Linked DNA regions of Drosophila melanogaster. The protein of the gene in region 4 interacts with the protein of the main gene of each other region in a pairwise test. Each region holds a gene or a part of one and is shown on either strand. Other genes may lie near its edges. The genes, in order: kin17, CG3107, MFS15 and Hsp60B.

What was found.
Region 1: the proteins of Hsp60B (region 4) and kin17 interact in a two-hybrid assay, tested with the Drosophila melanogaster proteins (one large-scale study listed by BioGRID).
Region 2: the proteins of Hsp60B (region 4) and CG3107 interact in a two-hybrid assay, tested with the Drosophila melanogaster proteins (one large-scale study listed by BioGRID).
Region 3: the proteins of Hsp60B (region 4) and MFS15 interact in a two-hybrid assay, tested with the Drosophila melanogaster proteins (one large-scale study listed by BioGRID).

Annotation. Positions count from the first base shown.
Region 1 is NT_037436.4:20,353,354-20,360,211, reverse strand, and holds kin17 (kin17), read right to left. Parts: upstream 3,406-6,858; 5' UTR 3,316-3,405; coding exon 2,344-3,315; intron 2,272-2,343; coding exon 2,071-2,271; 3' UTR 1,881-2,070; downstream 1-1,880. Other genes in the region: Prim2 (DNA primase subunit 2), read left to right, coding at 1-306; CG5665 (uncharacterized protein), read right to left, coding at 392-1,123, 1,176-1,435, 1,505-1,700; CG5618 (uncharacterized protein), read right to left, coding at 3,679-3,867, 3,932-4,907, 5,225-5,412, 5,807-5,986; eRF1 (eukaryotic translation release factor 1), read right to left, coding at 6,658-6,767.
Region 2 is NT_033778.4:5,087,058-5,096,972, forward strand, and holds CG3107 (uncharacterized protein), read left to right. Parts: upstream 1-3,523; 5' UTR 3,524-3,685; intron 3,686-3,946; exon of another isoform or gene 3,947-4,743; intron 4,744-4,814; 5' UTR 4,815-4,841; coding exon 4,842-5,419; intron 5,420-5,469; coding exon 5,470-7,996; 3' UTR 7,997-8,033; downstream 8,034-9,915. UniProt on the Drosophila melanogaster protein: ATP-independent protease that degrades mitochondrial transit peptides after their cleavage. Also degrades other unstructured peptides.
Region 3 is NT_033778.4:18,792,430-18,799,696, reverse strand, and holds MFS15 (major facilitator superfamily transporter 15), read left to right. Parts: upstream 1-3,018; 5' UTR 3,019-3,159; coding exon 3,160-3,220; exon of another isoform or gene 3,221-3,290; coding exon 3,291-3,427; intron 3,428-3,530; coding exon 3,531-4,628; intron 4,629-4,690; coding exon 4,691-4,888; 3' UTR 4,889-5,079; downstream 5,080-7,267. Other genes in the region: MFS14 (major facilitator superfamily transporter 14), read left to right, coding at 434-624, 905-1,981, 2,042-2,218; CG15080 (uncharacterized protein), read right to left, coding at 5,574-6,390, 6,443-6,723, 6,781-6,966, 7,024-7,267.
Region 4 is NT_033779.5:725,361-732,918, forward strand, and holds Hsp60B (heat shock protein 60B), read left to right. Parts: upstream 1-3,001; 5' UTR 3,002-3,147; coding exon 3,148-5,094; 3' UTR 5,095-5,204; downstream 5,205-7,558. UniProt on the Drosophila melanogaster protein: Prevents misfolding and promotes the refolding and proper assembly of unfolded polypeptides generated under stress conditions.

The DNA.
Region 1 (6,858 bases), on a different chromosome or scaffold from region 4:
TGCGGCAAGTACTTCCAACTTACCCACAATTCACCCGTCGAGCCGAGCATCAATCACCCCAACAACTACTTCGAGGAGAGCCAGATAGCGATGGGCAACCGGCAGAAGCGCGCCAATGGTTCTGCTCCGCCCAAGGCCAGAATCCGTCCAGATATCAAGGGCCATGGGGATCGGTCCATGCTGATGGGTGACGATGACGATGAGTTGTGGCGAATCGCGGAAACCCAGGAGCGTATCATGCAGAGCCAAAAGGACATATCCGAGGCCTTCAATGATGATCTAGATCTTACGCAAATCGATTACTAAACGTTGTACAACATAAATTAACTAAGGTACATATATATTTAAGCATCGTAAATAAGAAAAGTTATATTATTCCATGGTTCGGACTTCACCTCCGGCACAAGTAGCACGTTTTAAGCCTAGGATCAACAGTGTTCTCCGAGTTTCGGCCGTAAGGGGGCCAGCCATTGACATCTACGTAGTAGATGCCCCTGGCTTGGGGATTCATTCGATAGCCCATCGGGGAAACTATGCCAGCAGAACAATCCCGTTTTCTTAGCTCATCCCAAGAAGCGCACTTCTTGCCCATAAAGTTCTTCTCTTGGTGTGGATATGCACTCTCGGCGAAATACTCAACGGCTCGGGTATGAGAGCATCCGATGGTTAGGCAGCCTGGCTGGATGGGATGTGCTCCGCCGGGATAGAAGTCCACATCACCGAGGGGTCCACGCTTGGCCAAAATACCAATGTTGGTGTGGATTATGTCCACTAGCTTGGCATCGCCACGCGTCAATCCTGGCAGAATCTTTTCCCGCCTGAAACATGGCTTGGCCGGATCCAAGCCAGTTATCCTGGGTATAAGTTTTCCGGTAAGCTTCTTAAAAGTCCGACCAGCAGTGCCCATAATGTGAGCTCCTAGTGAATGTCCTACAAAGAAATCAGAACCAGAATTTATGGACACAAAGGATTCCTTTATGAACCCACCAATCAAGTGAATATTTCGAAGTGGGGTCAGCTCTATAAGGTGGGTCAGACCAACTCCAATATGCTCTCCAATTAAATCCGTGTTCAGCGCCGACCACGCGTAGAAGGTGTCCACATAGTCAGCCGCATCTACAATCTGAGATGGAAGCCTTAGATATGAACTTTCAGAATTGATTCACGAGACGAACCACAAAATTCACATCGCCACGACACATGAATGCCTTAGAGATCATCGAAATGGCCGAGGATTCGTTTACGGTGTTGGTCCATCCGGTGGCCAGAATTACCACCTTACGTCCCTTGCTGAATCGAGAGTGCTTCCACAGCTTCGAGGCCTCCAGCAGGGGCACACTGTAGTTCTGGCACGGCGTCATGTACTGAAAATGCATCTTCCTTATGTCCGGAGTGATTTGCGCAGGGATTCTGTCCATAAAGAGGGTGGAAGAACCTGGCATTTAGATCACAATAAAATCAAATAACTTTTTATATGTTGATAAACACAGGACGTTATCCTTACACACAGCATCAATTATGTTGGAAGCCAATTCAAGTGGAGCAGCTGTGAGTATGTTCGCCTTAATGGTGGCGATGTCAGTTAAAAGTCTAGGCACTGCATCCCACCAGCTTCGCGTCAACCTTCCCTCTTCGTCAACAGCTATATCTCCCAATGCTCCGAGGCGTAATAGGATAACAATGCCACACAGAATCCTCATATCCCTTCTTTAGCACACCGATGCTGGAACTAGTTTAAGTTTTGCAAGTATAGAAATTATCGCTAGTAAAGCGGCCATTGTTCGCTGGTTTTATTGTTCCCAAACTGAACTCGAAAATATTGTTTGCATACCCACTGAAATATTCGTACACTGAGTAAATGAGAGTGTTCTAGTTATTTTCATTAAAAAGTCATGTTTTATTAACCCAAATGCTGAGCAGTCCAAATTTAAGTAACGAACGTATTATGTGCAGATTTTTGTCTAGTTCGATTTCAGCCTTTCTCCGAAATGGTTAAGATTTTTTACTTACATATATATCAAATTAGGCATAAAAAGGTACAACTATAGAATTTAACTTAGAAAAGCGCAGCTAGGCGCCATGTAGTTTAGATATATCTTCGTATTGCACGTTGTCTACAATTCTGCCTTTGAGAGGACCGTGCAATATTTCCACGCTGACTGAATATCTGCGCTCGTCCAGTTTCCTTAGCAGAGCCTCGGATCCCCGATAAGCGCCATTAACCACCATGACAGGCTTGTCCAAAGCGGGGATTACCGTCTCCAAATGAGCCTGGAAAACAAAAAAAAATAAAAACACCTGGGTAAATATCCGTTATAGATTAAAATTGGGTTTCCATCTTACTTGATCCACTTTTAGCTTTTCCCCAGTCTCCAAGAACTTGATTTTGCCCTGATATCTGTCAATTACGTCCAGGACAACCGCTTTTTGTTTGAAGAACTTTTCGCCCATGGATTTGGAAATAAATTTGACCACGATACCCTTGTGCAGCCAGTAGTCCTTGCGGTTGGCACGCTCCTTTTTGCTTTCCTCCTGCTTGATGATCTCGTCCAGCACCGACCGCGTTTGGCTGTCTCCAGCCACGGATTTGGGTTTCTTGAACACCTTTTCTTCAGCTTCAGGGGCAGGTCGCTTGGCTAGAGCGGATTTCCCTAGCACAGTGTCAGGCTGGAACTTTTTCTCAAGGCGAATATCAAGCTTGAGTGGTTCGTTCTCTTCGCGCTTTAGCTCGGTGAACTTCTCCTGGCCTTCGTCCTCCTCGCCGTCCTTGGCCTTGGCATTTTTAATCTGCTGCTCAATGAAGTCGGCCATCCGCTCCTCGTCGTCCTTCTCCATCTTCTCCTTGCGATCAGCCTTCGCCTGTCGTTCCATGGCCTCTGGACTGCGATCAATGTAGGTGACGAACCAGCCCTTCTCCGTCTCATCCGCTATCACTTGCCCAGTCCGGCCCAGCCACTTCACGTAGTCGGACAGGGTGAGCCATCGGGTGGCGTTCATGTGGATGTGCTCCTTGTGGGCAATGTACTCCTGGTAGATCTTGTTGGCGCTGGTTCGCTTCGTGCCGAACCGCCGGCGCAGCAACTCCATGTAGCCGTCGGAGAACTCTTTGCTGAAGCTGTGCAGGAATTTGCCAGGATTGTCCGCAAAGAGGAGCAACTGGCGCTGGTGGGACTCGCTCATCGTGTGGCACTTGAAGCCGTTTTCATCGCGGCACTGCTTCTCGCACATCTGGCAGTACCAGCGCAGCTTCTGCAGACCCTTCGATTTCATCTTGTTGGCGAGGTACTTGGGCGTACCTACCTCGGCGCGACCCATCGTAGCGTCTTTTTATGTGCGTGGTTTTACAAATAATTTCTCAACAAAAACTTATTGTTTTGATCTCACGTAAAGGTATGACCGCGCTGGGGTATAACAACAATACCCGTGAACACTTTTATCGATAGTTACTGCTGGGGGATGTTCGTGTGACCAGGCTAATATTATTTGTTGATAGCGGTAGAAAATGAATTTAAAAAACTTAATATTCATTTCTTGAAAGATTTTTATTTAAATATTCAAAATAGAGATTAAGCCGAGTTTACATAATAAAGGCGTATTTTTTATCACAAAGTAATAACTACAATGAAATGTACAATTGAACGATTTCCATTAATTAGCTTAATTCACATAGAAAATAATTCAAAGCACAATTTTCTCGCCCAATCTCTCAATTTCGTCCAAAATGAAGTCCAACTCTTTGCTTTTCAGGATGGGAAAACAAGTGAAGACCATGCGAAAGAAGTTGCCCAGATTTTTAGCTTTAAGAGGCGAGTAACCAATCATCAAAGTGCCGCTGTGGGCCATTTGCTCCTTAATTTTCGGGGCCACCTTTAAAGGAGCATATAAAAATGTGAGCTTAAATGGTCTATCAAAGCCATTGTTATTCACTTACAGTGTAAAGTCGACTCCACCATTCAGGCGTCTCCTCCTCGCTGGACACCCTCATTGCTTTCGGAATGAACCAAAAGCAGACATTGGAGTACTCGTGCTCCGGGATCACCAGTCTAAAGCGATCTCCACGCTGGCGCAGCTTGCCTTCCAGCAACCTGGCGATGTGGATGGCGTGGTCCACCATGAGTCCATACTTTCCATATCCGCGAGCCTTAAGCATTAGCCAGAACTTGAAAGCGTCGATCTTGCGGCCGCACTGGACACTCTTGTTTCCCGTATCGTAGGATACATCATAGAACTTGTCCTGCTGGAACAAATAGTGCGCCTCGGTGCTGTTGCATCTTTCCAGCAGACGGCCAGATTCCCTGGTCAAAAAGAGTGAACACTGCAATGGAGCGCCGATGGTTTTGTGCGGATTCCAGGAAAACGAATTCGCCCGCTCGAGGCCGGCAATGAGCGATCGGTTCTTGGCGGAGAGTAGTGCAGCGCCTCCCAGACAGGCGTCCACATGGAGCCACAGACCATGTCGTTCCGTCACATCCGCCGCACCATTGATATCATCAAAGGCACCCAACACAGTGGTGCCTGCAGTACAGTTGACAAAGAACGGTTCACCGCCACGTGCCTTTGCCTCTGCGATCTTCGCCTCCAGGTCGTCCAACAGCATCTGACCCCGCTCATTGGTCCTCACCGACACACAGTTGTAGCTGCCCAATCCCAGCCAGTTGGCCGCCTTCACGAAGCTGTAGTGCGACTCGTCGGAGGTAAAGAGCACCAGCGGTCGCATTCCAAACATTCCAGACGTCTTCACCTCGGGCGCGATCTTATAGCGGGCCAGAACCATGCCGTACATGTTGGAGGTGGAGCCACCGGGCGCAAAGATGCCATCGCCTTCCTTGTATCCCGCTAACTTGCAGATGGTCGCGATCACCTCAGTTTCGATCAAGCTAAACACGGGCGCAACTTCGTAGGTGTATCTGAAACAAAAGTTTATTGTGTCTTGTTGGATACCTCGGTTAAAAGTCTGATTTTGGTAGTCCTATCTAGGAAATCTCATCTAAATGATTAATAACTTGCAATGATTGTGTATGAACTCTGCTTAATCCCCATTTAAATTAATCGAAAGGGGGGGGGGGGGGTTATGAAACATACATGTAGTACTTTGCAATCTCCATTACATAGCGCAATTATCTGTACGTTGAACCCCGACACCACTTGTAGATTGGAACACGAGATGCAATCAGCGGTCACTCATATAGACAAGACACATGTGTGGAATAAGGCGCAGACTTACGTGCTGCCGTTCATGGCCTCGGTGACCAGGGCTCCTGCCAGTCCAAACGGGTCCAGCTGGCCAAAGAGCTGATTGTGGAAGCGGCCGTGCGAGGTTTTCACAGAGTAATGGATCACCTGCTGGCACAGCTCCTCGATCTCCGCGAGCGAGCAGTTTTCCGTCTCTCGAACCTTCAGGTTAATCAGTTCCTGGAAGTGATGGTGCGAAATCATGTAATCTCAAGATTGTTATAGAACAGCGACTTTTGCAATAAGAAAGTATATTAAAGATTCAACATATTTCTAAAACGTTTTCTGTTTCGAACTAATAATATCTTTACCCAGAAAAAACCGACCATAATCTATGAAATAACAAACAATTCAATTATAATTAAAACTATCAGATACTAGCATGAGTGTGCTCAATCAGGAAGTGCTACTATCAATTGACTCACATTTCGTCGGGCAAGCCATAGTACAATTGCTACAATTTGCGGTCGGGTGGTCAATTTTCGAATGAACTCTTCCATTAATCAGTTCTCTGTTATCTCTGGTTATCTCCACATCGGCAGACGCCGAATCGTCTATCACTTGCTCCACTCACCTTAAGTTTGTCTGGCTGCAAAAAGGGGACTATCTTCTGCTTGTCCCATTTCTGGGGATCCACGCAGAAGGTATCCTCCTTCCGGAGAAGGTGGAATACGTTCTCCAGGATCTTCCAGTCGTCCATGAGGCCATCGCGAATCTGGTCAACAGTCTCTGCTCCATCCACTGATTCAGCCATACTACACTCGGTCGGTAGAAGTTTCCGTATCTCAATTGGCCAGTAAAAGGCTGATTATTTTTGGCTTTCGAGATCCGAACCTCTTCCGTCGACGATTCAATCAGAAGTGCCCCGTCCGACTGCAGCAGATTGTGTTTTAATGTTATCTTGATCAAATTCTCATCAAGTTGTAAACCCTCGTCTTCGCTCGCACTCAAATGGAAATACAAATGATCGGGGCTGTAAGAACACACATACACCTCCACGCTTGTGCTCTTTAGAGTGAACCTCGTTTTATTACGAAAGCGAAATAAAAGTGATATTAAAGTCGTGCATATTTAGGTTACTTAAACATACAATATATATCAATTAAGCACGTGCCTTATTAGCTGATTCGGCTTATCTCGTAACCAAAATCCTGCACAATTCGTTTTCTTTTCATCTCGACGCATTATCGTCAAATTCAATCGAAATTTGCATATTTACCCTATCGATTAAACAAGTTTCATGTGCATGCCACCAGAAAACTTGGTCAACTAATTGGATGCCCAACACCGCAGAACTTAGCTGAGCTTACTTTTTGGAAGTCTCGCTGCAATGATTACTTACAAATATTCAAACGAGTACGGATACCTGCACGACACTGCGGCTCAGAAACGAGTTTCAGCTCACCAGATGTATCTGAGCGATTCTTAGATGCAAATCAAGGGCGAAACAAGTACTACGAGTGCTTTTTGCTGTCGTCCACGTGCATTGCCAACTAATGAAGTGGGAATCTCGCAGTAAACTGTTTCCAGTGTGCCTGCAAATAGAAAGTAGAAAATGAAATGCCCATTTCACTTTACTTTCATTGCTGTACTGGTAGTACTCCAAGTGGCTACCAGCATTTTACT
Region 2 (9,915 bases), on a different chromosome or scaffold from region 4:
CAACTGCAGCAAAGACTTAAGCTCTGATGGCAAAGCCAAGCCCGATTCGCCCAGTTCATACAACGAAAAAGCATACAAGTTAGGCATGAAAAATGATAGCAACGCTGACGAGTTTATAAGCGAAAAAGACGGTGACAATGATTATGACGGCCCAGCTGAAAACAACTCGCAGAACTCGGATAATGACAACTCGCAGATTGGAAAACGGGTGGGTCCTGGCAGAACTAAACCTATTCGCACGGGCAAGCCTGGAAGCTCGCGAAAGCATTACAATGACTTATGGAAGAAGCAATCAAATGTCCTGATTCAGAATTATGTTTGTAAGCCACGAATCGAGAGTACGACGCTGTTATGAACAACCAGATTTGGCAGAAAGTAGATCCTCCGAGAACAGAACGAGCTATAGGCTGCAAATGTGAAGAGGGATGCCAATGACCAAGTGCAGAGATACAAGGCACGCCTAGTAGCCAGGGGCTGTTCACAGCGGTATGAAATTTATTATGCAGAGACTTTTTGACCTGCTTGTCGGATGGAAAGTATTCGTTTCATACTTTCCCTGGCTGTACAGTTAAAATTACATATGCACCAAATGTATGTCTGTACAGCTTATTTAAATAGCGGTTTAACAGCCCCTAGGATTTCAAGCCAAAGATCATGCGGACGTCGTGCTTTTGCTAAAGAAAGCCATTTACGGCCTTAAAGAGTCTGACAGAGAGTGGAACTGTAAATTGGATGGAGTTTTGCGTAGTATTGGGTTTAATCCATGTACAAAAGACGGTCTAATGTGGACGATCTAATTCTAGCTTGTCAAGATAAAAATGATCTCATAAGCATAAAATGGAAACTCGCTCAATCCGTCAAACTGTCACGGACAGTTGCATATGTTTCTTGGATTTGAAGTATATCGAGAAGGCCAGCTGGGCACGATAATGTTAAGTCAGAGCCAGTATATTGAGAATCTGCTTCAGCGACACGGCATTAAGGATTGTATAGCAGCTGCAAATCCACTGGATGCAGCTTTCCAGTGCAAATGCGACAAAGAGGTGTTGATGTTGATGGATGCCAAGGAGTCAATGAGCAGAAAGCAGCAGAACTCATGTGGTTGGCGGTATCACCAAGGCGAGACATTTTACTTACAATGTCTAGATAGGCGTAGCGTAACAAGGATCCCCACAGTGAGCACTGGACATGAGTAAAACATGTACTCAGATATTTGGCATCGACAATGTATCTAAAATTTCATTATAAAACAAGAGAGAACGCTGTAGTCGAGTTCCCGACTATCAGATACCCGTTACTCACTGTTACTCATACTGTGAATGCGAACGCAAAATTTCATCATTTTTCTGGGATATCGTTATCGATATAGGGGAATAAAATGAGAAAAAAATTAAAAACTGTTCAGAAGTGTGGGCGTGACCGATTTGGCAGCTTTAGGGCGTTAGAGTGAGCAACTAATAATATTATGAAAAAATATCAAAGCAATCTCCAAAAGTGTGGGCGTGGCAGTTTTGGGCGGTTTTAGGGTCTTAGAGTGGGCGTGGCACGTTTTCCCTCAAATCGATGGAAATTTACAAGACTAATAAAATTATGAAAAAATATCCAACAATTTTTCAAAGGCGGGGGTGGTAGTTTTGTTTTTTGCAGATCGATAGAAATTGACAAAACTAATAAATTGTGAAAAAATATCAACACATGCGTCTATGCCTCTGGAACCTTTATGCTGAGTCTCAACCTTCTAGCTTTTAAAGTTCCTGAGATCTCGACGTTCACATGGACAGTAGGACAGACGGACATGGCCAGATCGACCCGGCTATTGATTCTGATCAAGAAAATATATACTTCGTAACGCATCCTTTTCCAGTTACATACTTTTCATCCAACGGGCGTACCCTTTATTGGCTGCGGAGAATCTGGAACATCGACAATAATGACAATTTAAGCTCTCACCAGTTGGCAAAGAATCCTGTACATGACGGTCTTTATCTTCATCTGTATCTTAATGTCGCTACTAAATCGTATACTTTCAAATTGCTATTCGCAATTCTTTATTCAATGATTTATGATCGTTCAAAAATAAAACATAATTCTGGGAGTTTTAAAATTGTTAAAAAATTCCAATTCACGTTTGATATGCTGTGCTGGATTAGGACATATTGCGTCCTCTCAAGATGTCACATCGGTATTTCTAATTTTTTGACATGTGCGTCAAAATATCGTCGTTGGTGGAATAGTAACATGAGAACGTTTTTTTTATTTAATTAACTTTTCGCTATTTATAAGTGAATTTCAAAAAATTTTAAAATTTCAAAAGCGCACATACATATGTAAAGAAAAGAAAGATCTAACTATCTATTTACGAGGGCTCAGAAAAGCATTTAGAATAAGCATCTAAATGATCCGTGTTGGCTTTCTGAGCTGAAGGCAATACCTTAACTTGTTGTTTGTAAACATGCGAACTTTGAAGACACATTTAAACTTAATTGCATATCAGCTGTGCTGCACTATCTCCGGTTACGTTCTCTCTCTCTCTCTCTCTCTTCCTAGTGCTCTCGCACCTTACCGTTCTGCTGTTTGCTCTGTAATTAAGTCGCTCATTAACATTCGCTTTCGTAACCTATGTATGCGCGATTCGATGCCAAGCTTAACCTAAAGAAATGAATTATAACCGTTCGAAATCTCTACTATAAAACGTGTATTCATTTCTTGAAAATATCTAAAAATTAATAGTAATAATAGCCACAATTTGACAAAACATTAAAACATTAAAAATCTACAACTTTTAGTATCATTTCTGAGAGACACTGCACTGGAAACCATTCGCAATATCGGATGACATTTACGCTAAAGAATTGGCAATATTACAAAACATTACAAACATTGGCAAACATTACCAATATTCTGTGGCTAAGGGCAATACAGAGTGGACTAGACTTCAAAAATTCAGTTCCAGTGTGTGAATCGATGGCATCGTTTCTGAAGCAGCGATGCAGGACGCTGGAGAATATGGAGTTCGCATAGGCAAGCTATGCGCCATGCATTCACAAGATGTAACAGATATGTAGTTAGATTTTACATAGATTGTATATAGATAGATCTTTCTTTTCTTAACATTTTTTGAATTTACCTAAATATAACGATAAAATATACATATGTAAGTTAAGACTATCACCCAGTATACAATCTGCCGAGAGAAATGCAAGAGCCTAAAGCTTTCAAGATAAGAGTGATGCCTTGACTTAAGATGTAGGGATAGCTTAAGAGATAATGATTGTGTGAGTTAGTTGATTTGCCTTGACTTAAGATGTTGGGATTGCTTAAGAGATAATGATTGTGTGAGTTAGTTAATTTCTGGATATTAATAATATTGAATACTCATTTAGCGCAGACCGCGCTTTTAAATGAAATTGTTAGCATTATATTTTTCATTCAAAGCATTTCATAATTTGTATGAAAACGTCCTAGTGTACCATTTTCCACCGTTCCCCCATCGCAGCTAAGTCATCGACGATAGCTTGACTCAATTATAAGTCGAATAAAATGTAATAATTTAGATTTTAATTGTCTTTTTTTTCTATACGCCGGTGAGTAAAATTATTTAGGTCCATTTCTGTTTGAATCAAAAATTAATGCCAATAAGGCATTGTTATGCCCGAAACACTACGTATACGTGCATATTTATCATGTATGTATATTATTAAGCAGTAATATACACGCTTACATACGTACATACATGCAATTGCATGAGAAACACTAAATTGTGGCATTCAGGGTCAAGATGATTGTCACAGTTCAGTTATTTTTAAAGTTTTTGCCGATTAGATCTATGGAATGATTTTTCATCAAGGCCGTTTTTAAGCTTTATCCAAATTCAGCCCAAGTTTATTGACCCATGTCGCCAATAACATTCTAACGCTCACAAACCAAACGAAACTGCCACTTCCACACTTTTGAAAATTGTTTTGATATTCTCTCGTTATTTCATTAGTGTTGTAAATTTCTATAGTGCTAAAAAACTTTGCTGTTGCCGAACAAGTCGATGGTTTGATTGGCAATGTTGCAAGTTGCGCAGTCTTGTTGAAACCAAATGTTTTCTAGACTATTCTCACGCACTTTTAAAAACAAAAATTCGTCGAGCATAGCTCGTTAGCATTTCCCATTGACGGCTCTATGATACCACCACCCCATAAACCGCACCAAATTGTGCATTTCTCTAGGTGCATCGATTGCTCATGGTATGCTTGTGGATTGGTGTCGGCCTATATGCGGCCGGTAAAATTGCTGATTGTGTTGAAGAATTCTCAGCGAAAACGATGGCCGGTTGGCTTCAGATCCTAAACCATCTGAATTTTGTGCGCTTTGAGACCCAAATCTTAGCGAAGATCCTTCACAATTTTGTTGGGCAAAGGTGTAACTCCTGCGCGCGGTGACGAATAGATGAGTTCCGTTCTTCTGTTACACTGGCCTCAACGGCCCCCATATGTATTTTCTACAGTGCGCACCCTGCGAAGTCTAGTCTGAATTGAAGGCCGATAATGAGCACCATTAAACTAGCGAAGCAAACGGTGTACAAATGACCACTGATTTTCGAAATAAAATTCAACGATTTGGTATCGCTGCTCAGCTATTATAGCTATTCATCAGCTAACATCAAAGGTAGCCCAACTGAACCCCATTGAAAAAAAAACCCCTTATAAAAAGGGTCGGATGTGGCTTTCTTCGGCAGTTACTAATAATTAAATTGTAAATACAAACACATGTATGATTCTTTGATATACAAATTTATACTTCTTTATATATTCTTTTGTATTTAGCGATTCAGCACGGATGGTGCTGAGTTCATGTTAAAAGGTGGAATGTTATCGCGGTGGAAGATGTGGTCTCCACAATACAAAATCTTGAGAAATCACCTTATAAATTTCAAGTCGGTGTCCACATATAAGAACATTTCTGGCGTCAATACCAAGCAGCCCAAATCTCCACGACAATTTGGTTGCATGCCACATGTAACTAAGAAAAGAAAATACAAGTATGAAGAGGGAAAGACATACCATGGCTTCCAATGCGAACGTGTGGAACACATTTCTGAATTTGAACTTACGTCCTATACTTTTCGATATGAGCGCACGGGTACAGAATTATGGCATATCGACCGAAATGATTCAAACAACGTATTTTCCATTAATTTTCGAACCACGCCCTTTGATTCTACTGGTCTACCTCATATTTTAGAGCATTTATCGTTGTGCGGTTCACAAAAATATCCTGTCAGGGACCCTTTCTTCAAAATGCTTAACCGCTCGGTAGCGACATTTATGAATGCAATGACTGGTCCAGATTATACTATTTATCCTTTTTCGACGATGAATGAGATAGATTTTAGGAATTTGCAACATATTTATTTAGATGCCGTATTCAGGTAAGATGTAAATAATTGACGATATCTCGTAATAATATCTTCCTTTCTAGACCAAACCTGGCGTATTTCGATTTTCTTCAAGAGGGCTGGAGGCTAGAAAACAAAGATATATTCGATAAACAATCGAAGCTTGTAATCAAAGGAGTTGTTTATAACGAAATGAAAGGTGCGTTTTCTGAAAACGCGCAGGTATTTAGTCAGAATTTACTCAATAATATTTTTCCTGATCACACATATCGACATGTGTCTGGCGGAAATCCATTGGAAATACCCAAGTTAGCATACAACGATTTAGTTGAATTCCACAAAAAATACTATCATCCAAGTAATGCTCGCATATATTCCTACGGATTATTTGATGCAAGTAAAACCCTCGCACTTCTCGACGAGGAGTATTTATCAGATCAAAGCTGGGTTGACAACTCTTACAGTTTAATACGTCAGCAAGAGCGTTGGACTCAGCCTCGTCTTGTACATATATCCAGTAGACTAGATAACATGGGTACAACAATTGATCGACAGAACCAAATTGCTATTGCACTGCTGATGTGTGATGCAACCAATATACAAGAAAGTTTTGAATTACACGTGCTATCTGAGGTACTTATTCGTGGGCCTAACTCCCCTTTTTACAAAAACCTTATAGAACCAAATTTTTCCGGTGGATACAATCAAACCACTGGATATTCATCGGATACTAAGGACACAACCTTCGTCGTTGGATTACAAGACCTTCGAGTTGAAGACTTCAAAAAATGCATTGAAATTTTTGACAAAACCATTATTAATTCTATGAATGACGGGTTTGATTCCCAGCATGTTGAAAGTGTTCTGCACAATCTTGAGTTGTCTTTAAAGCACCAGAATCCGAACTTCGGAAATACTTTGCTTTTTAATTCCACAGCATTATGGAATCATGATGGCGATGTAGTCAGTAATCTCCGCGTATCAGATATGATATCAGGGCTTCGGGAAAGCATAAGCCAGAATAAAAAATATTTCCAAGAGAAAATAGAGAAATATTTCGCCAATAACAATCATAGACTAACATTAACTATGTCACCTGATGAGGCATATGAGGATAAATTCAAACAGGCCGAGTTGGAGTTGGTAGAACAAAAAGTAAAACTTTTGGATGAAGTTAAGATTGAAAAAATATATGAGAGAGGATTAATATTGGATTCATATCAGAAGGCTGAGTCAAATACTGATCTTTTACCTTGTCTGACAATGAATGATGTAAGAGATCCACCAAAATGGCCTAAGCTATTCATACAAAATGTTCAAAATGTTCGGACCCAGATTTGCAAGGTTCCGACCAATGAAATTACTTATTTTAAGTGCATGTTTAATATAACAGGACTAAGTCATGAAGAAACTCAGCTTATGCCGCTTTTTTGCAATGTTATTAGTGCAATGGGCACCACAAACTATAATTATCGGGAGTTCGATAAGCACATCCTTTTAAAAACCGGTGGATTTGATTTTAAGTTACACTTAATTGAAGATGTTAGGGATTCAAAAAGTTACAGTCTAAGCGTAATGATAAACACACATGCACTTAATAACAATGTTCCAGAGATGTTTGCCTTGTGCCAAGAGTTGATTAAAAATGTTAGGTTTGATGACTCGGAGCGACTTAAAATGCTTATAGAAAATTATATATCATATATATCTGTGGGAGTGGCTAGTTCTGGTCATTTATATGCTATGTTGGGAGCAACATCACAAGTGTGTGATGCTGGTAAACTCAAATCGCTACTATATGGGGTAGATCATATAGACTTTATGAAAAATTTTGTACATTCTACAAGCACGGTAGATATATGTGATAAATTGTCGACAATTGCATCAAAAGTTTTTAACAAGGATAATATGCGTGGCGCCATTAACACAACACAATCTTATGAGCCATCGGCTATAAGTAATTACGAAAAATTTTTGGAGAGCCTGCCAACATTTGGGAAAACACAAACAAGTCGAAATATCCATTATTTGGACCCTAGCTGTCAACAATACGTGATGAACATACCAGTTAATTACTGTGCTAAAGCTTTGTTCACAGTCCCATATCTCCACCAAGACCATCCAACACTGCGAGTTTTGGCAAAATTGCTATCAGCCAAATATCTATTGCCTGTTATTCGCGAGAAGAATGGCGCTTACGGAGCTGGTGCGAAAATCAGCTCAGACGGGATTTTCAGTTTTTATAGTTATCGAGATCCAAATTCAACTAAAACGCTTAACGCTTTTGATGAAACTTATAAATGGTTACGTGCAAATCAAAATGTAATTGACCAACAGTCTCTTTTTGAGTCGAAGCTTGGTGTGTTGCAGCAATTAGACACTCCAATAGCACCTGGAAATATTGGCATCGATTATTTCCTTTATGAAGTGTCACAAGAGGATTTTGAGAGCTATCGCTCCCGAATGCTCTCTGTAACTATTGATGATCTGCAATGCGCTATAGAAAATTATTTTGGAAAAGAGTCCATGCATTATGGAAAATGCATTTTGGGTCCAGTCAATGCAAATTTGGAGCTTGAAACTAGTCACAAATGGATAATAAATAATTAACTAGTTGTAAATGTAATAAATTTATAAAATTCAATTTATTTTATTGGTTTATTTCTTTCATATATGTCCAAAGGACTTATGGGATTAATCAGGAAATTTAATATAAAAGAGATCCCTTGTTTTTTAATCATATACCTTTGAAAAAACGTTGATTTATATGCGCTAAGTGTCACATGTATCGTTTCATATATAGACTCTCGGGGTTTCCTAATACTTCCCATGACTAGTAAACGGTAACCTTTTCACCATTTCAGTCAGTCAAATTCTCAATTACACTCTCATCGCTGTCACCGAAGTCCAAATGTAGGAAGTTGGAACCAATAAATATTATTTAAGCTAAGGGTAATAATACTACCTTGGAATATTTCCCTGCATTCTTTGAAATTGGATTTTATCAAAGTAACATCTTCGATTTATTTAGATACTCAGTCAGACTTAATTAATTTGATTAAATACACAGTTGGATTCAAAAGTTAGCTACGCTCCATTACCGAAATTCGACTGCCAGGCCAGTGTTTTGCCGGCCGCTTAGCCAAATCCCACGGTGTCATCGCATTCCGCTGCAGTCACACGCGCAGCGTCGTCAGCGGTACGCTACAGAGCTCTAGGGTCGTTGACCTGTCGTCCGGTGCTGACGTTGCGATGGAGGTGGGGTAGGAACTACCCCGCAGCTGCAATAGTGGCTTCGAACGGGGTTGGGAGGGGGAAGCAAGTGCTGCGTTCTGACTCCTCCCCCTTCAAGATCTGCGTCCCCCAGATTAAGTAGCCTTGGTTTGTCCGGAGGTAACAGGCGGATCCGGGAACAAGGTAATATTGCCTAATTTCTGTAGTCCATAGGTAGAGGTCAATTTTCTTCACAGGAAATACAAGAGAGAAACGATGAGCAGAGTCAATGCTGCCTGCGTAAGAAATGAAGCCAACAACTCCCCGGTCACCTCGGAAATCTTTTCCAAGATCTTTAAACTCACGTCACGCATCTACTCCAGAGATTGGCGTTGGCTGATACTTGTGTTAGGACGGCCGGCAATGACATCAAGTGGCAGTTTGAGTAGCTCGTGAAATTTCGGCCACCAACTGTTAAGGCCTCGCAAGCGTCTTATCTAGCTGCCAAGCTCTTGTGACTTCCGAGACTTGGTTGGTAAGGATAATAGCATAGTTTAGGATAGCAGTCGTCACATAGATGTCCCCATCAATGACAATTACTATTGCGATGGCCTCGTTTATTCGTAATTGACTCGTGGGTGGCGTCAAAGAGTCTGGAGTTAATCCTCAGTTGTTGGTCACTATTCTTTAAGGGCACCTTCTGTGTTGCCAGAATTGTGTTCCAGTCAGCTGCGTCGGGATTCCCAGCTATCCATTTCCATGCAGATCCCAGCCAGTTTATCGAGCAAGGTTTCCTCACGGGGGCACTGGCTATCCGGTTAACACACTCCGTTGCGCCTTTGAGATGAGTACTCAAAAAAGATCTCAATCCTCCTTTCCTACAAGGAAGCGGCATCTTAAGCGATTTCGTCCATAAGTTGTCGCATTTTTCCAAGGTCAACCACGTGAGCCAGCTTGAAGACTCCATTGATAATACAGATATTGCCGAAGCGGGACTATCGGCTCTTCATTCTTGTAGACGGCTACCACTAAGCAAGTCAGAGGAAGATTACAAAAAAAAAGATCTTACAAATAAATCATTGCTATGCTATATTGTGTTAATACGAATATTTTTACATGTTTGTTTGAGTGCTGATGTTTGTTTACGTGTTTATGTTGTTGTAATAGTTTGTTACTTTGTAACGAACTGTTTTTCTTGGTTCTACTCGCTACGAGTTGCAGTGGCCAGCTCAGGGAGTTTGCGTGTCCCAACAAACCTTTGATTTGTTTTATTGCCCGACCAAGGAAAAATCAGAGTTTTAGATTAAAGTCGTTCG
Region 3 (7,267 bases), on a different chromosome or scaffold from region 4:
AATAACAAAGAGGAGGTCTCACAAAGTCCAATGCTCGATTCTCAGTGTTCGCAGCCAAGTTTTGGTCGAGTGGGTGTCTCTGTATATGTACATATGTGATGTTACCACCCATCTCTCTCTGGCCCGCTGGCAAGTGCGTGCGTGAACAAGATTTTGACATAGTCAAAGTGTTTTATAAATAAACGCGCCCCACATACTTACATGGCTACCAGTTTGGGGCTTACGGAGCGGCCAACTCGCAGAGAAAGAGAGATTGAGAGAGACAGTGAGCTCCGCGCTCGTTGATTTTGATAAGGCGCCGCGAGAGAGCGAGACGGAGTAAAAGCGCCACATGTGAAGCACGCCCCAACCCCTCACCAACCGTCACCAATGCTCCCCACTTCGTAGACCCTATGGCATAACCAACTGATCCGATCTCTCTTTCCTATTACAGAGAAATTCTTCGGGGTGAGGCATGTGCAGTGCATCCTGTGCTTCTTCTGCCTCGCGATGAGCTACGCTTGGCGGGTGAACCTCAGTGTGGCCCTGGTGGCCATGACGGACAACAGCACCTCCCTAGCTCAGAACAACACCAATACCGGAGTGGCGCCAAGCGAACCCGGTTTTGATTTCTTTAATTCCGAGGTAAGTGCCGGAAGCTCCCAAACAACCGATCTCTAATGATTCGAAACTCTCCAAACGATCTGAAACTTCGTATTCAAATGTATTTTGAGTTGTTACTCATGCAATTTTTATAATCATTACAACAAAATATTACATTAAATCACATACACATACTATGTGGTTTTTGAGGTTTATCGTTTGAACTTGAAGTTCGCTTTTTCAAGCATATGTTTCCTATGTTTTGGAGGTTTCTAGAGCTATTCACCCGTACCCTATCTTACCAGTACTATTCTATTCACAGCGCTACTACAACTTCACCCAGAAGGAGAAGGGCAACCTGCAGGCCAGTTTCTTCTTTGGCTACATCGTGACCCAAGTGCCAGGTGGTTATATCGCCCAGCGCTATGGAGCCAAGACCATGCTGATGTACGGATTGGGTATAGCCGCTTTGATCACGATGCTCTCGCCGATGTCCCTGCAATTCGGATGGGTCGCCCTTGCCGTGATGCGATTCGTGATGGGCCTGGCCCAGGGTGCAGTACATCCGGCCACGCATGCGCTTTTGGCCAAGTGGTCGCCCGCGGATGAGCGAGGAATGCTGGGAACACTCTGCTACTCGGGCGCCCAGTTCGGAACGGTGGTGATGCTGGCCACTAGCGGTTTCATTGCCGACTCCGTCTTGGGCTGGCCGAGTATCTTCTATTTGGGCGGAGCATGCGGCTTTATTTGGATGGTTTTCTGGTACCTATTCTCGGCCAGCACGCCGGAGGAACACCGTCTGATTTCGCCCGGAGAGCTGAAGTACATTACGGATTCGCGGAGCGATGGCAAGATGCAATCCGCCGAGAAACTGGCACCCACGCCCTGGAAGGCCATCTTTAGTTCCCTGCCCTTCCTGTCTCTGCTGGTGGTGCACTGCACCCACATTTTCGGTTACTGGCTGCTGCTCATGCAGATTCCCACGTACATGAAGAAGATCTACCACGTGGACATCAAGAAGGGTGCGCTGCTCTCCTCCCTACCCTACATGGTGATGCTGCTCCTCAGCTTCTTTTTCGTCTGGCTATCCAAAGTGCTCCAAAAGAAGGAAGGCATGTCTCTGTCCTTCAACCGCAAGATTTTCAACAGCATTGGCCATTGGATACCTATGCTCTCGCTGATCGCGCTAGGTTATGTGCCGGCGGATAATGCTCCACTGGCGGTAACACTGCTCACCCTAACGGTGGGAATCAGCGGAGCCACCTATCTGGGCTTCCAGGTGAACCACATCGATCTGTCCCCGAATTACGCCGGAACCCTGATGGGCATTACGAATTGTGCGGCAAACGTGATGAGTGGAATCGCACCAGTGATCGTGGGACAGATTGTCGTCGATGAGGTGAGTTGATTGGCCCTGATATGGCAGTGAATCCCAATTAACTCTCGTTTTTATCTTTAGACAAGCGTAACTGAGTGGCGATTGGTGTTCCTGCTGGCTGCCGCCTTCTACTTCTTGGGCAATCTTCTCTTCGTCATATTTGGACGCACGGAGGTGCAATGGTGGGACTCCCCACGGGACAATAAGGAGGATGCGGAGCAGGGCACGCCTCTGGCGCCCAATGGCCAGGTCAAATAGAGCCTGGGATGGCATGTTCATACCGCATCCAGAATCATCCGGGCTGTTGTTTCTTAGATTCGTAGGCGTAGTTAGTTAGTTAGACACCAGACAAGCTGAAAGTTAACTTTAGTGACGATCGCGTGCTTCCATTAGCGATATTATACGGTAATTGCTTAGTCCTAAGGCAGCGTAAATTATTATTGTTTGCAGTATTTCCATAATGTACATAATCCAAAAAAAGAAAGAAAGAAAGAAACACAAACTATCAATCAAACCAATTAAACGTGCAACTTGAGAATACGTTCAGTGTAAATAGGGACAAAGCCCGCGGCGAGCTGCAGCATCAACTCTAGTAATTGTTATGTTTTAGTTTTAAGTTAGGCATTAGCGAAAACTTGTGATGAAAAAAGTAAACTAAAAAAGGCAAAAAATGAATAATGAAGACAACACTAGCCATGAATAAAGCAGCTCACTTCGCAGCTGTGAAAGAGTCAAAATGTAACGAAATCATTTGTGTTTTATTTGAACTGGGGTTTGAATTTGATAGTCCGACACTTGTTGCTATCGATTGAATTGCACTATCAACCCTAATGGAACTATCGAATAGTAGCGTTGAATTATGAGATTTCTTCACTAGTTGGTTTTGGTTATGTTAGTATCTTATTGATTTTAATAATAATAGTAATAATAATTAGAAAGACAGGCTTTTATGCTTGTTATGAACATTTTGTTTAACAATATACAAGTTTTAAACTGCAGTCCACCCTAATCTATCGTTGCACTTGTTGAAGCAATAGTGTCGATAGTGCCGCCTCTATCTAAGTGGGCAGCAGCTGGCACTTGTTGTTGTCATCAGCTGTGTTATGTTTAGACGCTAGTTCCATCCATTCCCAGCTGCCCCTAGCAAGTATCCAACGCATCACACAAGTTGGCTACGTGGAAGACACTGCACCTGCAATATGGTGCTGGGATGCCTGCCATGCTGCAATCACAACGGCTACCAGCAGATCGGGAACACGGGTGGGTGGTGACATGACCTTTTGGCCTTTGTTACCGCATCCGCTTTGTTAATTACGCGCACCTTTTGCAGGTCCACGGTTCGGAGTGCGTCATCTGCAGTGCATCCTTGTGTTCTTCGGACTGGCCGTGGCCTACTCCCTTCGCGTTAATCTCTCCGTGGCCATTGTGGCCATGACGGATCGCAATGCCAGCAATCCGGATTTTCCTGTATGTATGCAGATAAGAGCGCAGAATGAGTCAACAATTATTTTCGCTTGCATTATTTAATGAGGACCATAATTTAAATTTAAATCAACTTAAAATTTCGTAGGAATTCGACTGGAATGAGAGTACAAAGTCGTACCTGCTTAGTAGCTTCTTCTGGGGCTACGTGGTCACCCAAATACCTGGAGGTTACTTATCCGCCATTTACGGTGCCAAGTACATGCTCTTCTACGGCGTTCTTATCTGCTCCTGTTTGGCATTGCTAACACCGTTTTGCGCCGTAAACGGTGGCTGGACAGTGGTGGTGGTGCTCCGTGCGGTGCAAGGACTCTGCCAGGGCGTCATTTTCCCCTCGACACATACGTTCCTATCGAAGTGGGCGCCGGCTGAGGAACGTGGACGACTGGTGGGCTACACGTACTCTGGCTCCCAGTTTGGCACCGTCGTAATGCTGTCAGTTAGCGGATACATTGCCTCATCCTCACTGGGCTGGCCCAGCACTTTTTACATACCCGGATGCGTTGGTATCGTTTGGTCATTCGTGTGGCTATACCTATGTTCCAGTACGCCGGCGCAACATCCAACGATAACGCCAAATGAGCGAAGGTTCATTGAATCTTCTGGACAGGCGAGGAGACCATCGGATGCAGGACGCGAGGAACAGCCACGTCCACCGACTCCATGGTGGCGCATCTTCACTTCCGTACCTTTTCTAGTGCTCGTCCTGGCGCACTGTGCTAACAATTGGGGCTTCTGGACTTTGCTTACGGAGATTCCCACCTTTATGAAAAACGTTCTCGGCATGGACATTAAGAATAATGGTCCGCTTTCCGCGCTACCCTACTTCGCTATGATCCTGCTTACCTGTGTTTTCATCTGGCTGTCAGACACACTGAAACAAAGAGGAACAGTTATCCCCCTGGGATTCTCCAGGAAGTTCTTCAACACGCTGGGAATGTGGCTTCCCATGCTCGCACTTATCGGACTGGGATACATTACCGAGGGTGAGGCGAATGTCCGGCTGGCCATTGGATTACTAACCGCTGCGGTGGCCACCAATTCGGCCACTTATCTGGGCTTCCATGTAAACCACATCGATTTGTCACCGAACTATGCGGGTACACTAATGGGCATTACAAATTGTGCGGCCAATTTTATGAGCATACTGGCACCCCTGATAGTAGGACTAATAGTCTGGGATGAGGTAGGAAATGCGACCTTTTAATCTTTAATGGTTTTTTAAATGATTTTCGTTATCCTTTCCAGACAAATCCGGCGCAATGGCGAATTGTATTCTTCTTCACCGCGTTTGTTTACTTCATTGGGAATCTACTGTTTATGCTTTTCGGACGCACAAGGGTTCAACCGTGGAATAGTCGCCCCACAACGAGAACTCCGTCGCCTGGAGGTGGTGGAGAGCGGGATGAAGGTACTGAGGATCGAGGTCCGCTCATTGGCGCATAAGAAATAACAAAAAACGTGGCCTAAGGATTGGTTGTAGATGTGAAACATTTGTACCTTGAAGGCGAAGCATTCCTTGGAATTGATGAATCGCAATTAGTATCGTATTACTAGTTATACACGCAACACACATTTATGTCTACATATATGCGAAATATATATACATATATATACAATTTACGTATAAAGCATTGAAGCACTCATAGTTTTAATTTTTCGTTTCGTTTTTATTGGTATTTGTATTTGCATTGTTTGTACACAATGATGTACATATGGTAGACTTATATGCTGGCTATGTGGTATCCTGACGTAATGCTATCTCTAAGGTCTACATACTAATGGTTCTAACTGGAAATATCAAGGGTTTTCAAAAGAGCGCTCAATGCAGGTAAAGTTTCTTAATAGAAATTTCATTTGTGGTTATTGTTATCTTATTCAAAATTCGTTTTAAAAAAATGTATGGAATTATCTTCACTCTTCGATATTTCATTATTCTTTTAAAGTGCTTATTTTTAACATATTTTTAATTAAAGCTAAGTAATTACAGCGGATACGGTTTTGTATTTTGGGCCAATGCAGCTGGAGGAGCTATCCTCCATCGTCCTGGACCCCGTGAACCCCATCCGTATCCCCTCTGCCCCTATGTACATGATGAATCTTTTCAATTTCCGCTGCCGGAGGAGTGTGCTCAGTGCAGTTTGTGATTGGCGGGCAGATCTTCGGAACGGATGCATCGTCCGCGGTAGCAGATCTCCGTTTCGGAGGTGACTTTGGTCGACGTGGACGTGGCGTACACCACATGCTCCATCAGATCCTTGTGGAAGCTGTCCTTTTTGCTCTCCGCCACGGTGGCTTCCGTGGTGATGGCTTCATCCGTGGGCGCTAAAGTCGTTGTTTCCGGGGGAGTGACTGGACTGGTTCGTCGGATGCTTGTGTACTCCTGGCGACGCTTGCCTACGGCCGCTAGAGCGGCGGTCACTGCTTCTCCTTCACTTTCCTCTATGGCAAACAGATCGTGCAGTTGCTTCTTCACCTCGGAGAAGATGCTCGGTTGCACTTCCAGATCGTCCACATCCGCTGCCGTGTCCATGCGGCGTGTGGCGCTCTCCTCGCTCAAGGGAAGAATGGAGGTAATGGTGGCCTCCTCAACGTCTTGGGCAGTGGTGACCTCATACTCCTCGGGCGTCGTGGGGGCTGCCACTGTGGTAGTCACAACCAAAGGCTCTGTCTGGGCTTCGGTGGATGGAGTTAATGGAGTGGTGGTCTTGGGTAGCTCCTCCTTTTCGCTGGCTGCTTGAAGAGCATTGTAGAGCTGAGGTCCTAGATTCTGGGACTCAGCCGTCTCGAAATTTTCCGAGTTATCCGAGCCAGATAAGCGGTTCTTTTTCTGCCACTTGCCACGTCTGTTTAGGCGACTAAAAGTAGTGCTGGTGGTTTCAGTGGTCGACTCCTCGGGAGCTTTGCCCATCACTTCCTCTAAAAGCTCGGCAAAGGATTTCTCTGGCCTATAAATATGTATTTAGTGTATTGTTCGATATATAAAGCAACAGTTCTTACTTCAGATTGGGCGCCATAATAGTGGTGCGCTGAACCGACGATCCACCAAGATCAGCAGCAACATTAATATCATAGGTCTCTGGTTGATTGGTTGGTCCTGCGGTCACAATCTCCGGTTCACTCTCGAAGTTATGGGTTTCCGTTTTGTATTTGGGACTCAATGGCTTGAAGCTGTTCGTGTTTGAGTTGCTGTTGGCTGTTTCCGATGATGGCGACCACTGGGATTCCTGACCTTCCAGCTGGAAGGGTTGCTTGTACCGACGACGATGGGTGATGGGAGACTTAATGGGTTACATATGTTAAAAGGAGTTTTAATATATTGTATCAAACTCGCATACCACGGTGGATTCTTTTTCCTTTGTCTCTTGGTTGTTGTAGCGGCTCAGCTTGCGGAGATAGCTCTTCTGGGTAACGGGTTCGGATTCCTCCTCGGGCGCCACTGTCGAAGAGGAGGCAGGATGAGTTGGGCGACGCTGTCGCTGACGCACCTTAACCACTCGACGAGGTGGCAGACGGGAACGGATCTTAAGAAAGTAATACATTTAAAACAAGTTTTAAAATTTGAAAATGTAAGATCTTACCGATGGTCTATCCTCAGCGGGTGTGGTGGAGGTGATTGGCGTCTCTGTGGTTGTGGTTGTACGCAGACGAGGATAGTTTCTCCTCACGAACGGCGAGCGACGCGTTGTTGTAGTCAATGGAGCCTCAGTGGTTGTAGTGGTTGTGGTCGTGGTGGTTGATGGAGTTGTGGTGGCCAGAGTGGTGTAGATTGGGCTCACCTCGTTGCGCACGATGGCCTCTGTTGGATTAAGATCCTCTTGGTTG
Region 4 (7,558 bases):
GAGTGGAAGTCATAGGAAGACTGACAGACCGGCCAGCGGCTTTTGGCATGTGTGGTTCGTGGAGCAGGGGCGACAGCCGTGACAACAAAATGTTCAAAGGCTTAGCAAAAAACCACAGAAAAACATTTGCCACTCAATTTTGTGTTTGCCGGACGAGCACGAGCTGCAGATTGGCTGGGATTGGATTGGACTATCCACTGCCCCCCACTTACCAACCTCCACCAACCTCCTGGTTGCTGGTTGTTAGTGCCGAGTGTATCTAGATTAAGGCGCGACAATAAGTATTAAGCATTAAGTTGTCTTTGCCACGGCGCCGTGTGAAGTGCCGTCTCCATTCCGACGACTCTGACACTCCGGGTCAACTGTTTTGTCCACACTCGTACGACACTCGTACCGATGTGGCACTACAAATCGCCGGTCGAGTGGGTGGCTGCAGATTTGTGGTCATGGGCAGGAGAGATCTTCGAGAGAAGAAGGATTGTTTTATTTAGTTTTTTTTTTTGTATGCCTAATGATGAAGTGGGAACGTCCTGAATTGATAAACCAAAGATGTTTAGTTTAAAGTTCAATAGTAGGTATAATTAATTAGATCAACCTTTGCCGTGATCTGCCCACCCTACCTCTTGACTTCTTCTTTTATTGGCTAAGTCTGACATTTTCCTTTTAATTTATGCCACCAACCTGGGAGATTACACAGATTGCGGGTTATGCAAATTATTTTGCCACCGTTGCTGCCACAAAGGCTGCCGTTTCGTTGGCTTGCTGCAGTTTGTGTCTAGCTTAAGTTTAAGTCGTTGTGTGGCTTTAGTTGTTTCGAGCCCACTGACAGCCAATTTGGCAAGTCAACCGCGGGGGACAGCGCGGCTAACGTGGCGTATGAGCGATGCCATTTAAGCGGCGTGCTAAAATGGTTTTAATTATTAGCCAGCGAATGTTTGTGCATTGTTCGGGGGGACTGATAAACAAACACAAACTGAAACGAAATCGAATTGTACGCTGCACGCATTCCCCGGCCGCTTCATTGAACCGTATAGGAATTTAAATTGCACAGCCACCGAAATCGAGCTACGGAGCACCTGCTCTGCGATTTTCGATCGGTGCCAGTTGCTTATACGACACGGTGGCCGGTCGAACTGGTGGGCTCCAGCTCCCAGCTCCCAGCTCCCAGCTCCCAGCCTCAGTCAAATCGAGTCAAAAAGTTAATTACAGTGAATGCGGCCAACGATTTTCATGCACTCTTGACACCGCCCGGTACGTGACAATATGAGAGGCACTCATTCCGCGACGCAGAGTTGGCCACAGTTGGGTCAAAAAAACTAGGGGGGCAAAGGCTAAATTGAGGCTAAGCTTTAGCTGCCTCATTACACTCAGAAATATGCACTAACAGCTAGCGTATGGCCAGAATTGAAACATGACACACACATTTTATATGCCCGTTAATTACTGTAATTCAAGATCAAAATTATTGGCCATTTAAAATTGTTGAACCTGATAATTTGCTATGACGACCACCAAATTATTTATTTTAGTGCAGTTCATCGATAGATCGCTCCCATCAGCTCAATCTGCACTTGGCTGCCCCAGATCCCAGATCCAGGAATTTCGTCTGCCTGGTACTTACGCAAATGCTCAGATTGAACTGCCAGTCTATCGTCTGCAGTCTATCCATTTCTCATTAAAACTTTCTTTGCTGTCTGCTCCACAATTACCCGAACGACTTCATCTGCTCGATCCACGGATCCATCCGCGGGTAATGACAGAGCCGGCAAAAAATCTGCCAAAACCAATAGGAAATCATCAGCCAACGGTCAGTGGGTTAATTTTGGCCCACCAAAAATACTGAAATGAATTGGAGAATCCCCGAAGATGGCCTGCAATTAATCATAGATTGAGGCTTATTCGCTATCCAGCGAAAGTAATTTGTAGCCGACAAGAGACCCTGCAGATCGCTTGTAGTTACGATTATCGCACAGCCCACCAGGTGGTCTTCCCACCATGGACACTTTCACATGTCGCAGAGTTGGCGCAGATGGGGAGAAAGGTTGCGAGAGGAAGAAGAGTCGTCGAACATGCAAATGCCTCATCAATCAGCTCCTCCGCCCTTCCCCTTCAAATCGGTGACGTGCTTTTGACACAAAACCCGGCTACTGTGCTACCGCTTGCACATGGCAATCAACGCGTCAAGCGGCCAGGAAACGGATCCCGATTCCGACCCCAGTTCCAATTCCCGTCTGCGGCACACAGAAAAAAGTTATACCTACTGAACTAAATGTGACATTATTTTATACGTATAGAATACGAGAGATAGCTCATATAAATCGCATTGAATTTATATGCAAACCTATTTCTAAACATTCATACCTAAGTGCAATTCATCGTGCGAAAGTAATGCCTTCTTGCGCGCTGTGCACCCAACATTTTCATCCCATCTCCATTTCCATCTCCGCCTCAAACTCCCCATTTCCATTTCCATTTGCCGTTTGGCTTGCAGCAAAATGTGTGAATTTCTTTAGTTTGCAGTAGGCAGCACACAATTTTTGACAGCTGCCTTCGAAATGGGAACGGTCAGCCGAGGAAAATGCATCCATCCTCCGGTGCAGAACAGTCGCACCGCAGTTCTGGGAAATCTGCACACGCTGGTCTTGTTTGTGGGTCAGCCTCAGCCGATGGAGGCGAATAGAACTGCAAATGGGCAGACTCCACCCAGAATGTCGGGGCTTATTAGCTGCACGCTAATTTATTCCGGCAAACAGAAGGCACGGCTTCTGTTGTCGAAGATTTCAGAGCCGCAGATCGCAGACGGGCAGGCGCCAGACAAATGAATGTTGTGAAATCTGGCGATTGCCTGGAAACTTGTCCGCAAAGAGAAAAAAGAAAAAAGAGAAAAGTGCTCAAGGAAAAGCAATATAAATAAAGAAGAATGGCTTGCACATGTTACATAAAACGAGAAGCTTAAAGATAATGGAAACAAAATTTGGATTTGAATATGGGAGTAGGCCTTGAACGAGTCCGTCTAGTCCGTCAGTATCGAGTCAACAACCTACATATTAGTTGCACTCACTTCGTGTCTGAGATCAAACGAAAAAATATTAGAACCAAAAGTTTTGAAAGTTTTTTTTTTATTATAGTTTCAAACTTAAGTGCAAAATGTTTCGGTCGTGTGTGCCCAAGGCGATTACCTCTAGTCGCTGTTTCGCGCGGATGTACTCGAAGGACGTGCGCTTTGGCTCCGGAGTACGGGCAATGATGATCCGGGGCGTTGATATTCTGGCTGATGCCGTTGCTGTGACCATGGGGCCCAAGGGTCGCAGTGTGATCGTGGAGCGACCATGGACCTCGCCGAAGATCACCAAGGACGGCTTCACGGTCGCGCGCTCGATTGCCCTAAAGGACCAGCACATGAATCTGGGCGCCAAGTTGGTCCAGGATGTGGCCGATAATACGAATGAGTCGGCGGGTGACGGCACGACCACAGCAACAGTTTTGGCTCGAGCGATTGCCAAGGAAGGATTCAATCAGATTACCATGGGGGCTAATCCCGTGGAGATTCGTCGAGGTGTCATGTTAGCTGTTGACGTCGTAAAGGACAAGCTGAAGGAAATGTCCAAGGCAGTGGAAACGCGTGAGGAGATCCAACAAGTAGCCACCCTCTCCGCGAACGGGGATACTGAAATTGGGCGGCTCATTGGTGAGGCCACCGACAAAGTGGGTCCAAGAGGAACTATTACTGTAAAGGATGGCAAGCGCCTGAAGGACGAGCTAAATATTATCCAGGGCCTGCGCTTCGACAACGGCTATGTGTCGCCCTTTTTCGTAAACAGCTCCAAGGGGTCCAAGGTGGAGTTTGCCAACGCCCTTGTAATGATATCCCTGAAGAAGATCACTGGACTCTCGCAAATAGTTAAAGGTCTGGAGCAATCCCTGAGGCAGCGTCGTCCCCTGATCATCATAGCCGAGGACATCAGCGGGGAAGCCCTCAATGCTTTGGTCCTGAACAAGCTCAGGTTGGGCCTCCAGGTGTGCGCCGTCAAATCGCCCAGCTATGGACACCACCGCAAGGAGCTTATAGGCGATATATCCGCTGCCACGGGAGCAACTATTTTCGGCGATGACATCAACTATTCCAAAATGGAGGAGGCTAAGCTGGAGGATCTGGGTCAGGTTGGCGAGGCTGTGATTAGCAAGGACAGCACCATGCTCCTGCAGGGCAAACCCAAGACAGGACTTTTGGAAATGCGCATCCAGCAAATTCAAGATGAACTGGCGGAAAAGCAAATCAAGCCAGAGCAGCGGGATCGTCTGCGCCAACGCCTCTCCGCCCTCACGAAGGGCGTGGCAGTGCTGCACATTGGTGGAGGCAGTGAAGTTGAGGTGAATGAGAAAAAGGACCGTGTGGTGGACGCCTTGAATGCCACTCGAGCGGCCATCGAAGAGGGAATTGTCCCAGGTGGCGGTACGGCCTTTTTGCGCTGCATTCCCTACCTCCAGGAACTCAAAACGGAGAGTGCAGATCTCCAGAAGGGCGTCGATATCGTCTGCAATGCCCTGAGGATGCCTTGCCAGACCATAGCTCAAAACGCCGGAGTTGATGGCCCAATGGTGGTGGCCAAGGTGTTGAATGGCTCGGAAGACTACGGCTACGATGCCATGGGCGATGAGTACTGTCGGCTGGTCGAGAAGGGCATTATTGATCCCACAAAGGTGCTGCGGACCGCCATCACGGATGCAGCTGGAGTGGCCTCTCTTCTGAGCACCACCGAGGTGGTTATCACCGACTCCCGGAACGATGATCTTTTGTCCAAGTTGTCAGGAGCTGGCGGCGGAATGGATGATGGACTGGACATGAACATGGGTGGCTTAGAGGAGCTGGCAGCCTTAAGTGGATTGGGTGGCATGGGTGGTATGGGAGGCATGGGTGGTATGGGAGGTATGGGAGGAATGGGAGGTGGATTCGGCGGAATGGGCGCTGGTGGCGGAATGAGCGCTTCTGCCAGCAATGACGGTCCCACTGCCGAGGAGATGAATGAAATGGTCAAGGCTATTCCCGGCATGGAGCAAGTAGAGGTGCGTGACATTGACAGTGGGATGATGTAGAACCCGCTTCCGTTATCCGCTCCAGCTCAAATCGTTTCTATAGTTCAAATATCTGTTGAGTGTCTAAATTTTATGTGTTCATCTAAAATATAAATTGACAATCGAAAACGAATTGTATAAAACAGTCGGGAACCCTTCCAAATGACTTGAGAAAGTGAATTATTGGCCTTTTCCCTACACCAGCAGTTTTCTGGCCAAATATCTTTCAACCGGTTCATTATGCTGGTCTGCAAAAAGCTACACTTCCTTCACACTTTCGGTTTTTAATTGCAGCCGAAAATTTGGAACGGCGACCGGCAGAGCGAATCCAGCTGCAATGCGATGATCATTTGCATAAAACAAACAGCAATTTCTCACACATGTGAGCCGACCCTCGGTTTTTTCCCCCGTACTTTGCATGGTTTGTGTTTGCAGATTTCATTTGTGGCCCGCAGCTAAAAAAGCGATTCGTTACATGAGAGTGAGTGCGCAAGAAGGGGGGCCTGAGGCTGGGAGCCTCCACAAGAGCGTCACATCAAACATGCATCAATAAATAAGTAATTCCAATTTGCAAATTTTTCATCGAGGCCCGCAAACGAACCGAAAATGGTGGACGGACCCATCGAGCATCGAGCGTGGGCCAGGGAAAAGCCACAGCCTCTTGGACCTCGCGAATCGGTCCTAGTCAGGTGGCTTGGTCTGGTCGTTTCGCGTCGAAAAGGAAATTGTTCATCTGGCAAACATATTGGGCACCATCGCCAAGGCACAGCAACAACTCCATTCGGCAAGTCGGAAAACTCTGAGCCAAAAACCAAAAACAGACGAAAGGCAAATAAAAAGGCTATCGCTATCGCTCTTGGCCAATCTGCATGTGCAGGCAAGTCTTGTTTTTGTTTTTCCTTCTTTTTGACTGCGTGTGAGACTGCGAACAATGACAACAATGAGCGAATCATGGGCACTTTGCCTGGGAACCCCTCTTGTCGTCGACTTTTCTTGAACGTCTACTAAACAAAAAATATTTCTATAGTACTCAGAAAAAAAAAATGTTATCAGCCAGTCAATCTAATTTACACTTGCAGAGTTAAGGCCTGACAAGCCATCAAACTCGTTTTTTAGATTATCTTAATGATCACATTTAAACACCGCATTCATAAGCGATACCTCGTTATAAACGCTCAATTAAATTATTCAATATTTGTTTTCTTTTTTATTTATTATGCTGTTAAATGATGCTTACAACTGATAAGCGAGAACTTCATGTAGGAGCGTAGGTGCCAAAATTTTTGCAAGTGCACAACGCCGAAAGGCCAACGAGTGATTGGAGCACAGCAAATGGCATTTTTAGCTTTTGACATTTCACGCGTATGGCTCCTCAGTCTTCGCCGTCATACACGGCGTATGTGTGATGTGGTACTATAATACTTTTCGCTCTCTCCCGTTTTGGTCTTTCCCGATCGGGACCTCAAAAACGGGCGGCGGTGCTTTAATGTGACTCGCGTTCCGACTTCGAGGCTAATGCCATAGATTTGAGTGGCCGACTAATTCACGACAATTTGCACTGATCGCCGATTACAGATGGGGCTTTCCGTGTCCAGCATCCCAGTATTCCAGCATCGACTTCCTTCTGGTCGATCGGCCTACGCTCACTTCTCACTGCTCTTTACCACAAATGTATTTTTAATTACATTGGCAAACATTTTCGCGTTCTTTGGGTGGTGAAGAACAATGGTACTGCACTGGGAAAATCTCGTTAGGAAATCAGAGATCATAGATCTTTAAAAGCTTTAAATATTCGGCTAAATAGTCAAATATTCTGTGTTGAAATAAGAAGCCATAAATCACTGATTTTATAACAAACAAAAGATGACTTTCTTGACATATTATTAAAATGCATTTCGTGATTGTGTTCGAAGTGCAGTCTGTAGATTTTTTCCTGTGTGTCCGGATGGAAAGGGGATGGCGTTGAGAATGGGATGGGCTGGCCTGAGGACGGACCGGGGATGGATTGTAACTGGTCATGTGGCAGTGCATCATCCACTTGGCCATTTGCCTGATTGCGGTATTTTGCTTCGGTCAGCTGGGTGGTGGAAGAACATATCGGCAGAAGTAGCAGCCAGAAAATAGCATATGGTAAATGGCAAATGTCCGCATCGAATGCTGCGACTAAAGTGAGTATATGTTCGCAGTATCGATTTCAGGCTACCGCTTCTTTCAGTTCCTTGGGATCCCGACTCCCGATTCCTATTCGTCTTTAAGCAATGGCATCTCCATCTCCGTCTGCTAGTCGCTGCTTTGCCTGGCGCGTAAATTTTCATGTCGCTTTGCGATTTGCAAGCATTTAACAAAGTCAAAACAATTTTAATGCACAGACCGGGCAGTTAATTAAAATAGCAACGATCTGTTGGTCAGGTTCTGGAGTTGGGCTGACTCTCAGTTTGGTACCCGGCAGGGTGCCCATATGGATTCTATCGTATTAGAGAAGGGA